2 linked regions of the Rattus norvegicus genome follow. The protein of the gene in region 1 interacts with the protein of each later gene in a pairwise test. Links are inferred from orthologs where the notes say so. Each region holds a gene or a part of one and is shown on either strand. Other genes may lie near its edges.

Region 1 (4,160 bases):
ATTGTGAATTCATGCAAAGTCAGCCACAGTGCTGTGGCAAGGAGACTGAGTTGTTAGGCAAACTATTTATTTATTTATTTATTTATTTAATTTTTTGTTTTTTTGAGACAGAGTTTCTGTCTGTAGCCCTGGCTGTTTTGGAACTCAAGAGATCCACCTCTCTCTGCCTCTCCAAGGGCTGAGATTAAAATGTCTGTGCCACTACCACCTGGCTAGGGTTTTTTCTGTGTGTGTGTGTGTGTGTGTGTGTGTGTGTGTGTGTGTACTTTTGGGGTAGAGATGGAACCTAGAGCCTTGGGTATCTAGCTATGATGTCTACCTAGGTGCTTCAATCACAGGCATCACTTAAAATAAGCCGCAGAGGATCCCATAACCTCTGACAAGGATCCCATCTTTCTAGTACTAAAGACCTCTCTCCCCTGCCTCCCATAAGAGGGCTGTTACAGGGCTGGAGAGATGGCTATCAGTTAAGAGCAGTTATTATTCTTGAAGAGGACCTGTCTCACAACTGCCTATAACTCCTGCACCAGGCAGGAAGTGACAGCACTGGACTCAGTGGACACCTGAACTCACACGCTCATACATACCATGCACACTCACACATACACGCACACGCGCGCAAGAAAATTAAGAAAACCCAAGAGGGCGAATAGAAAAGTTACATCATGAGTGGGAGATGGAGCTCAGTGCTAGAAGTTTGCTTCAATCTCCAGGACCACATCAAAGAAACCAACACCAGCCTCTTGTCCACAGAAGCACACTCAGTTTAGAGCTCCGTGAAAGCAACCAGAAAGTACTTGGTGCTTGTCTTAAAACAGAATCAGACTTCATTTACTGTGCTTTCCCCAGTAGAATGTAAACTCCATGAGGGCCGGGACTTGTGCATTCTCACTGTATTTTCAGTTTCTGACCTTGTACACAGCAGCAGGTTAACAAATGTTAGTATAGGAAGAAGGAGTGAACGCAGGAAGGAAACATAAAGCCTGGACAAGAAAGGAAGTTAGGCCTGCTTTCCCTGCCGAACCGGAGCTCCTGGGAAACTACAACTCCCAGTACACCTTGGACTCAACGCAGCGGTGCCTGGCCCCCGTTGGTCTTACGTGCCTAGAGAGCGCATGCTGGACGCGGCGCCTGCTGGGACTTGTGGTTCCTGCCACGGTGGGGGGGGTGGGGCCGGCATGGAGGCGGGCGGGGGCCGGGGGCGGGCGCGGCCCCTCCCCCGTCACTTCCTGCCGGGCTGCAGGCGCCGAGCCACTCTTCAGCGTTTGCGCTGGCTGTCGTCGCGTCTGTGTGCGCTCCCCCTTCTTCTGACCCCCGGCCCGGCGGCGCCCGCCTTCTCCGCAGCCACTCCGTCTCTTCCCTCCCCCGGTCTTTTTTTCCTCGCCCTCTTCTTTTGCTTTTCTTCCTCGCCGCCGCCCAATACCGCCGGCCCCGGGACGAGCTCTGGGGAAGCAGCCAGGTAAGGCGCTCGGGTCGGGCCGGGCCGAGCAGCGGAAGGACCCACGCAGGCACGGCGTCAGCGGGAGGTGGGCGGCGGGTGGGCTAGGCCTCGAGGGCGCGGGAGCTGCGGCCCAGGCTCATCTCCGCCCGCGGGGCCTTCCCGGAGGAGGCGGGCCCTCCGCGCTGCTCGTGGGCCCAGTGCGGGAGTTAACGCGGGGGTCGCGGGCAGGGGCTGGGCCGGTCGGCAGGCCACCAGGTTTCGGTGCTGTGCACAGTGTTGCGGCCACTGCGGAGCTGTGGGATAAGGTGCCAATTCCCGGCTCTGTCCCCTTAGCAAGTCACTTCGTACTCTTTGTGTCTCTGTTGTGAGGGGGAAAAGGAGGGGGAAGAGTATTAATCCTGTCCCAACCCCGTCCCTGCCTCTTCAGGCTGTGAAGTTGCAGTGAAATGGGGCGTGTAAAGCGCTTATCAGTGTGCCAGACCCACACCGTGTCCCAATAAACCGTTTGCATAATTTATTAACGTGGTATGAAAGTATAATTTAGGCTTCAGACTGGACAGAAGTTGACCTACCTTCCCATTTGGGTTTTCTCCGAGGCAGAAGAATCCCTCGTGCCCACTGCCAGTGCCTGGGCATTGTGCTTGCTTGGCACCAGAAAGGGGCGCGCGCTTAATGGGGACACTGTAGCAGACAGGTTATGGATGTAAAGCCATCCTTTCTGTAGAACCAGTTTCAGGCACTTCACTGGCTCCCGTAGGCTCCGCAACCTGTCCCATGTTTCCTTGCCACCACCCAGAACGTTATTGTCATTCCTTTTTATGAGAAAGTTGCTGGCATAAGCTCCCCTTGGGTTCAGCAGACCTTTTTGGAGCCCTCTTGTGTGTCAGGTTCTGGAGGTGGAGTATGCAAAGATGCTAAAACCGTGCTTTCTTGGTCCACATCTGTAGTTCTTCACTTTCTTTAGCTGAGCTTCGATTTCACTCCCGGTACCTATCCGTTTCCCTTAAACTCTGGCCGCACCTCCGTCCTTGTGGCAGTATTGCTGGTCTGAAGCTTTATCTTGTACCCTTTTGCATTTTGCCCATGTATTGTGTGCCTTTTAAAGGTCACTATTTTCAACTGCTTATAGCTGAAATTCTGTTTCTGTTTTTTTGCTTGCTTGTTTGTTTTTTTCTGAGATGTGGTTTCTCTGTGCAGCCCAGGCTGTCCTGGAACTTGCTCTGTAGCCCAGTCTGGGTAACTGTAATTCTTGAGAATTGGAAGTGTTGGAAGAGATTTAAACTAGGATTTTGGTCTTTCAGGGATCTGTGCTTACCAAATGCAAATTACATCACTACTTGTTGAAGTAAAAACTAAAAATACATTTGGGGAGTGTGGAGGGAGAAGTCTTGGTCATTCTAGTGAACTTTTAGTAGACTCTTTATTCTGACTCAGCCTTTCTCTTTTCTTTAGTAAGATTAAGTACTCTTTTTTTTTTTTTTTTTTTTTGGTTCTTTTTTTCGGAGCTGGGGACCGAACCCAGGGCCTTGTGCTTCTTAGGTAAGCGCTCTACCACTGAGCTAAATCCCCAACCCCTTGTTTTTGTTTTTAAATCTGTGCTTAGTGTCATAGGTGTCCTCCTCCTTAAAGAAACACAGCTGGTACAGGAGCAGATTTATAAGAGCAATTCAGTGTGTGTTTTCTGTGCTCAATGCTCTTCTACATGGAGGCCGGAGGTCAACTTCTGGTGTCTTGTCTTCCTTGACGGCTCTCTACCTAATTTCCTGGAACAGACTCTGAGGGTTGCTGCCTTTCCTGGGCTACTCATCTCTTCAGCCTCTCGGCAGATTGTTTTAGGCAGTAAGTTTCTTTAATAAGTGGAGAATGTTTATATCACACCCATCTGATATTGCATGGCTGTGTCTGTGTTTTTGACATCTTCCTAGTGTTTTTGTAATGTCAGGAAATAGTTTCTAGCGTCCATTGTTGAGTGTAATGGCTTTTCTCTTTGTTTGTTTGTTTGTTTGTTTTGGATTTTTTTGTTTTTAGAGACCAGGGTTTCTCTGGGTAACATAGCCCTGACTGTCCAGGAACTTGCTTTGTAGACCAGGCTGGCCTTGGACAGAGAGGTCACCCTGCCTCTGCCTTTGGAGGAGTCCTGGGATCAAAGGCATTCAATATTTGTCTGCTTTTCAATTAGTCATTAATAGTTCAGGAACTGTTGATTCAGTCCTTAAGGAGTAAGGCTGAAATCTGGGCTGAAAAGTGGCATTCTCCTAGAGAAGGGGAGTCCGCTAATTCTGCAGCTGTTTTCCTGCTGTGTATTAATCATATGTCAGCCAAGAAACCAGACCCCAAAAGAAAGAAAAAAAAAAAAAAAAAAAAAAAGAGAAAGCGCAGTCAGTTCTAGTATACAAGAAATGTCATTTCATTGACAGATTAACAGTCAGCCTGATATGACCTGGTTAAAGTCAAAATGACTAAGATTATGATAGATTTAGGATTTGTTTTCAAAACAAGCTAGTTTAAAGGAGGGAGTTCAAGAAGAGACAAGATGGACCTTAACTATGAGTTAATAATTATCAAAGCTGGGTGACCAAATACACAGTGCCCTCTATAGCATTCAACTTTAATACTTAAAAACAAGACAACTGGGGTTGGGGATTTAGCTTAGTGGTAGAGCGCTTGCCTAGCAAGCACAAGGCCCTGGGTTCAGTCCCCAGCTCTGGAAAAAAAGAAA
Region 2 (4,223 bases), about 20 Mb from region 1:
AGAGAGACAGAGGAGAGAGAGATTTTTCATTCTATTCCCCAGAGAACCTTGACTAATACTCTCAACCGTGACAGTGCTCAGTCCCTTAGAATCAGAGGTATTTCTAATCTCAAATTCAAGGGCTATTGAAAGAATAAAGGTCTAGTTCTCTCTCAAGAAGAGTCCTTGGACCTATCACTGTTTTAAGCCCAGGTTTACAGAGCATTTTTGTGTAACTACTGCTCCAAAAGCACTTATTCATCCTCAAAACTCAGCCTCCAACTTATTTCTTTAAATAATGAAAACTTGTCACACTTAACTCCAGTGGGAAGTAACCTATATTGAACAGGCATTCTGGTTTCTTAACTCTAAAAGCAAATGCCCCCTTAGTAACATGAGCAAAAGGAGCCAAGAGGTTGCTAACAAAATACAGATTAAAGTACTTAATTGAACGTAGCCACTTCCAAAGGCTCTCCTAGCGGGGCAGATGACGCAGAGTCGGGTCTTAGGAAAGTTAGCCTTTTGGGTTTTGTTACGCGCGGCAGTTCCCCAAGTTCCTATGTGAAATGGCTCCATTCTTTCGCTAAGCATCTAGACTGCTCCAGATTAACCAAACTGCGGCGCCTTAAATGAGGTGGAACTGCGCCGCAGCTGGAGCCTGTAGGGAACTCAATTTGCACCGCACTGAAAGTAAACTACCATTATTTCTCTCCTCCTCCGCGTCTTCGACCTCAATTCTTTTCACTTGACTAAATTTGTTATTTCTTTTAAGTTCATCTGCATGCCGACTCTAAGTAGTTTTACCTTAGAAAGGGTGCGCTCAGCTAAGATGTTTGACCACAAGGACTTCCACAGACTCTCTCAGACTTAGCCTTCACTCGGATTCCTACACGGGCATCTATGTGCTTGCTGGGTTCAGTCCAGAGCCTTACTGAAGCCATGTTGCTGTCTCCCTAGATATGGTCAACCAGTGAAGCTCCACGTTGAAGCTCCACGAGTCTCCACAGGATATAAAGCCAAGACAGACAGGAGAGGAGCAAGATGCAGCAGCGGGACACTTCTCACCAACCAAACCTTCCACAGCTAAGCGCGCTAACTCCACCTCCTCCACGCCGTCCAATCAGAGCTCGCTCAATCGGATCTTTTGGGCTCGCGCCTACCCCGGAAGCCACCCTGATTTTGCAGCCACACTTGGGCGGGGCCAGTCTTTCTACTGGCTCCCGTAGCTGCCCGTCGCGGGGAGGCGGGAGCCGGCAGGAACCGAGACGCTAGCGCCTGCGCAGAGTGAGGCTCGCGGCGCGCGGGAAGCTGCTACCGGCGCCTAACCGTTCCCCGCCTCCTGGACGTCGGCTCTTCAGGCGGAGCCTCTAGGAGGAAGAGGAGAACAAGAGAGAAACTCTTCTGGCCCGGGACCGCGGCCCGGGCGGGACCCGGGGCCGAGTCGCCTAGGCGACGTTGACCGAGACCGAGCAGGTAAGTGGGCGCTCCTGCCTGGCTGTGCTCCGGCCGTCGGACAACGCCGCGGTACCAGGGACCTCTTCCCTTCTCTTAGACTCAATAAGACATGGGTGTTGTCCTTTCCCCCACGTGGTGTCTCTGCAGCCTGTGCAGAACAGTGGCGGTGAGTTTGCCATACTTGGAGGAGAGCAGCAGTTTGGGGATGTAAGAAGCGACTCAAAGCTGGAAATGAGGCCCGGGGCACGGCTGCCGTTTCTAGGGTCCAGCTCCAGCTCCAGGAGACTACAGTGTGAACCACGGCAGTGGAGCATCTTTCTGGCTCTCGCTCTACAATATTTCTGTCTTACTGCTTTTTCCTGAAATGAGAAAGATGACTGGGATCTGTGTGTAGCTGAGGACCAGAAATGGGGGTGATCATCTTTGGGGGGCGTGACCAATGTTAGACCGTGTTTGGATGAAGCATCGTGGCCTAAAGAAGCGGAGATGAGGTGGTTGGACAGAGAAATATGGTTACCTGGGAGAACATTGCTAAGCCAGCATCCCTAGAGCTGTTTTTATATAGAACTGCTTTAAAAAATCCTGGAACTTAGTGAGCATGGCGCCGACTCCCTTGCTTTCCTAGAATGAAGCATCCAAGATCGTAACCTCTTTTTGTAAGTTGTTACATTGATTTGTGCAATGATGATTGAAGGAATGTACCTAAAATGCTAAGCAAATAGCACTTCAGATTGATTGTTGAGTCTGAGGACCTTGGAGAGAGCAATATCAAGCTGGTCAGAGTTCATCTATAGGACCAGCTTTGCTCTGTGTGGAATCATCGTTCATAAACTGATAGTTGTAAAAAAGAAAAGTTGGACCAGGCATGGTCCTGCACCATTATTTCCAGCACCAGAGGCAGAGGCAGGCAGATCTCTGAGTTGAAGGCCAGCCTGGTCTACATAGACGTGCCAGAAATATATAAGAGACCCTGTCTCAAAATAATAAAGGCTCTTGAAATGGAATTTTTTAAAAAAAGTGTTCCCAACTTAGTTGTAAGCTTACTCTGTAGAGACCTGTTTCTGAAAATTGGAAAATAATATAAATTACTTGTGTCCAATATTTTCATTAATATTGGTCAGTACTGGGTTCTTTCAAGTGGAACTTTTTAATCATAGGAAAAATTAACAGCCATACCTGTTATGAAAAAACAAACATGCTGCTTATGTGTTGGAACTTTCATCTGAACTATGGTATTTCAGATTCTCCCTGAGAATCTGTTCATTCTAGAGCCTTCTGCTATGGTGTCATGGCCCCTCTGGTCTTACATGGTGGGCATTAATGCTGAAGAGGTAAATTTAGTCGGTCTTGGGTTTACTTATAGGAATTGTAACCACTGTCCTCCACTCCCCTAAGAAATATGCTGTTCCCTGCATCTTTTGGGTCCTTGTTGTGTTAGTTCGTGGTAGTTTTTTTCCTGGAAGGGCATCTGCTCTCCCTCTGATACACTTTATTGGGTCAGTAATCACTCATCCCTTCAGCAGGAGCCACTGGTTTTACTAAGATTAGCCACACCCTGGTTGCCTGGGGACAATCACACCTCTCCAAGCTTTCAGGAAAGAGCAGTCTTTAGGTATCAATTTTTTGAAGATGAAACAGGATTAGAAAGATTAATAGGCAACCATTCCTGATCTGTATGCCTTTGATCCTGGGTGTGTGTGTGTGTGTGTGTGTGTGTGTGTGTGTGTGTGTGTGTATCATGATCCTGCCTTTAAAATAAATAGGCAAGAGTCTGAGCCTGAAGTCATCTGCCTTTAATATGCAAATGTTATCTATGGAAAAAATAGGGTTGGGAACTAGATGGGTCAGTAGCTAAAGGTGCTTGCTGTCAAACCTACCGACCTGAGTTTTTGACTCCTAGGACCCACATGGGGTAGGCAGAGAGGACTTTTGCCTGGTCACCTTTGACTTTCAATGAGCCATGGCATGTACCAAACTGACATGCACACAAATACTATTTTAAAAATTAAAACTTGAAAGAAAACTTTGGCCAGAGCAGAATAGATTTGATATTCACTTGTGTTCACTTTACCTTTGCTGTCCTACAGTCACTGGATCCCTAAGGAGGCGGCATTCTGGCAGAGGCCTCTGGCAGCAGACCCAGAGATGGCATCAGTAGATTTCAAGACCTATGTGGACCAGGCCTGCAGAGCTGCAGAGGAATTTGTCAACGTCTACTACACTACTATGGATAATCGGCGGCGGCTGCTGTCTCGCCTGTACATGGGCACGGCCACTTTAGTATGGAATGGAAATGCCGTTTCGGGACAAGAATCCTTGAGTGAGTTTTTTGAGATGTTGCCTTCCAGTGAGTTCCAAATCAACGTGGTAGACTGCCAGCCTGTTCATGATGAAGCTACGCCAAGCCAGACCACGGTCCTTGTGGTCATCTGTGGAACAGTGAAATTTGAGGGCAACAAACAGCGGGACTTCAACCAGAACTTCATCCTGACTGCTCAGGCGTCACCCAGTAACACAGTGTGGAAGATAGCGAGTGACTGCTTCCGCTTCCAGGACTGGGCCAGCTAGTGGGGGTGACAAAGGCAGCTTGGCTTTAGCCAAGCTCTGCAGAGAAATGCCAGTCTCAAATCTCAGGACGTGGAGAACACTAGTTCATTTTTGTTGTCACAGCAGCACTGCAAACTGGATGTTCGACTCCTAGAAACCCCTTTCCTGGTTATATACTGGTTTGTCATAGTTGCCTTTTAAAAGTAGTAAACTTTCTATTTTTCTACTTACTCAGTAGAGAA

What was found.
Region 2: the proteins of Stau1 (region 1) and Nxt1 interact in binary tests that used the Homo sapiens proteins (3 or more experiments, as listed by UniProt). The two-hybrid records come from large-scale screens. The link is inferred for Rattus norvegicus from reciprocal best matches to the Homo sapiens genes STAU1 and NXT1.

The regions. Positions count from the first base shown.
Region 1 is NC_086021.1:176,142,067-176,146,226, reverse strand, and holds the start of Stau1 (double-stranded RNA-binding protein Staufen homolog 1), read left to right. Parts: upstream 1-1,279; 5' UTR 1,280-1,459; intron 1,460-4,160. UniProt on the Homo sapiens protein: Binds double-stranded RNA (regardless of the sequence) and tubulin.
Region 2 is NC_086021.1:156,560,775-156,564,997, forward strand, and holds the start of Nxt1 (NTF2-related export protein 1), read left to right. Parts: upstream 1-1,346; 5' UTR 1,347-1,452; intron 1,453-3,521; 5' UTR 3,522-3,579; coding exon 3,580-4,002; 3' UTR 4,003-4,223.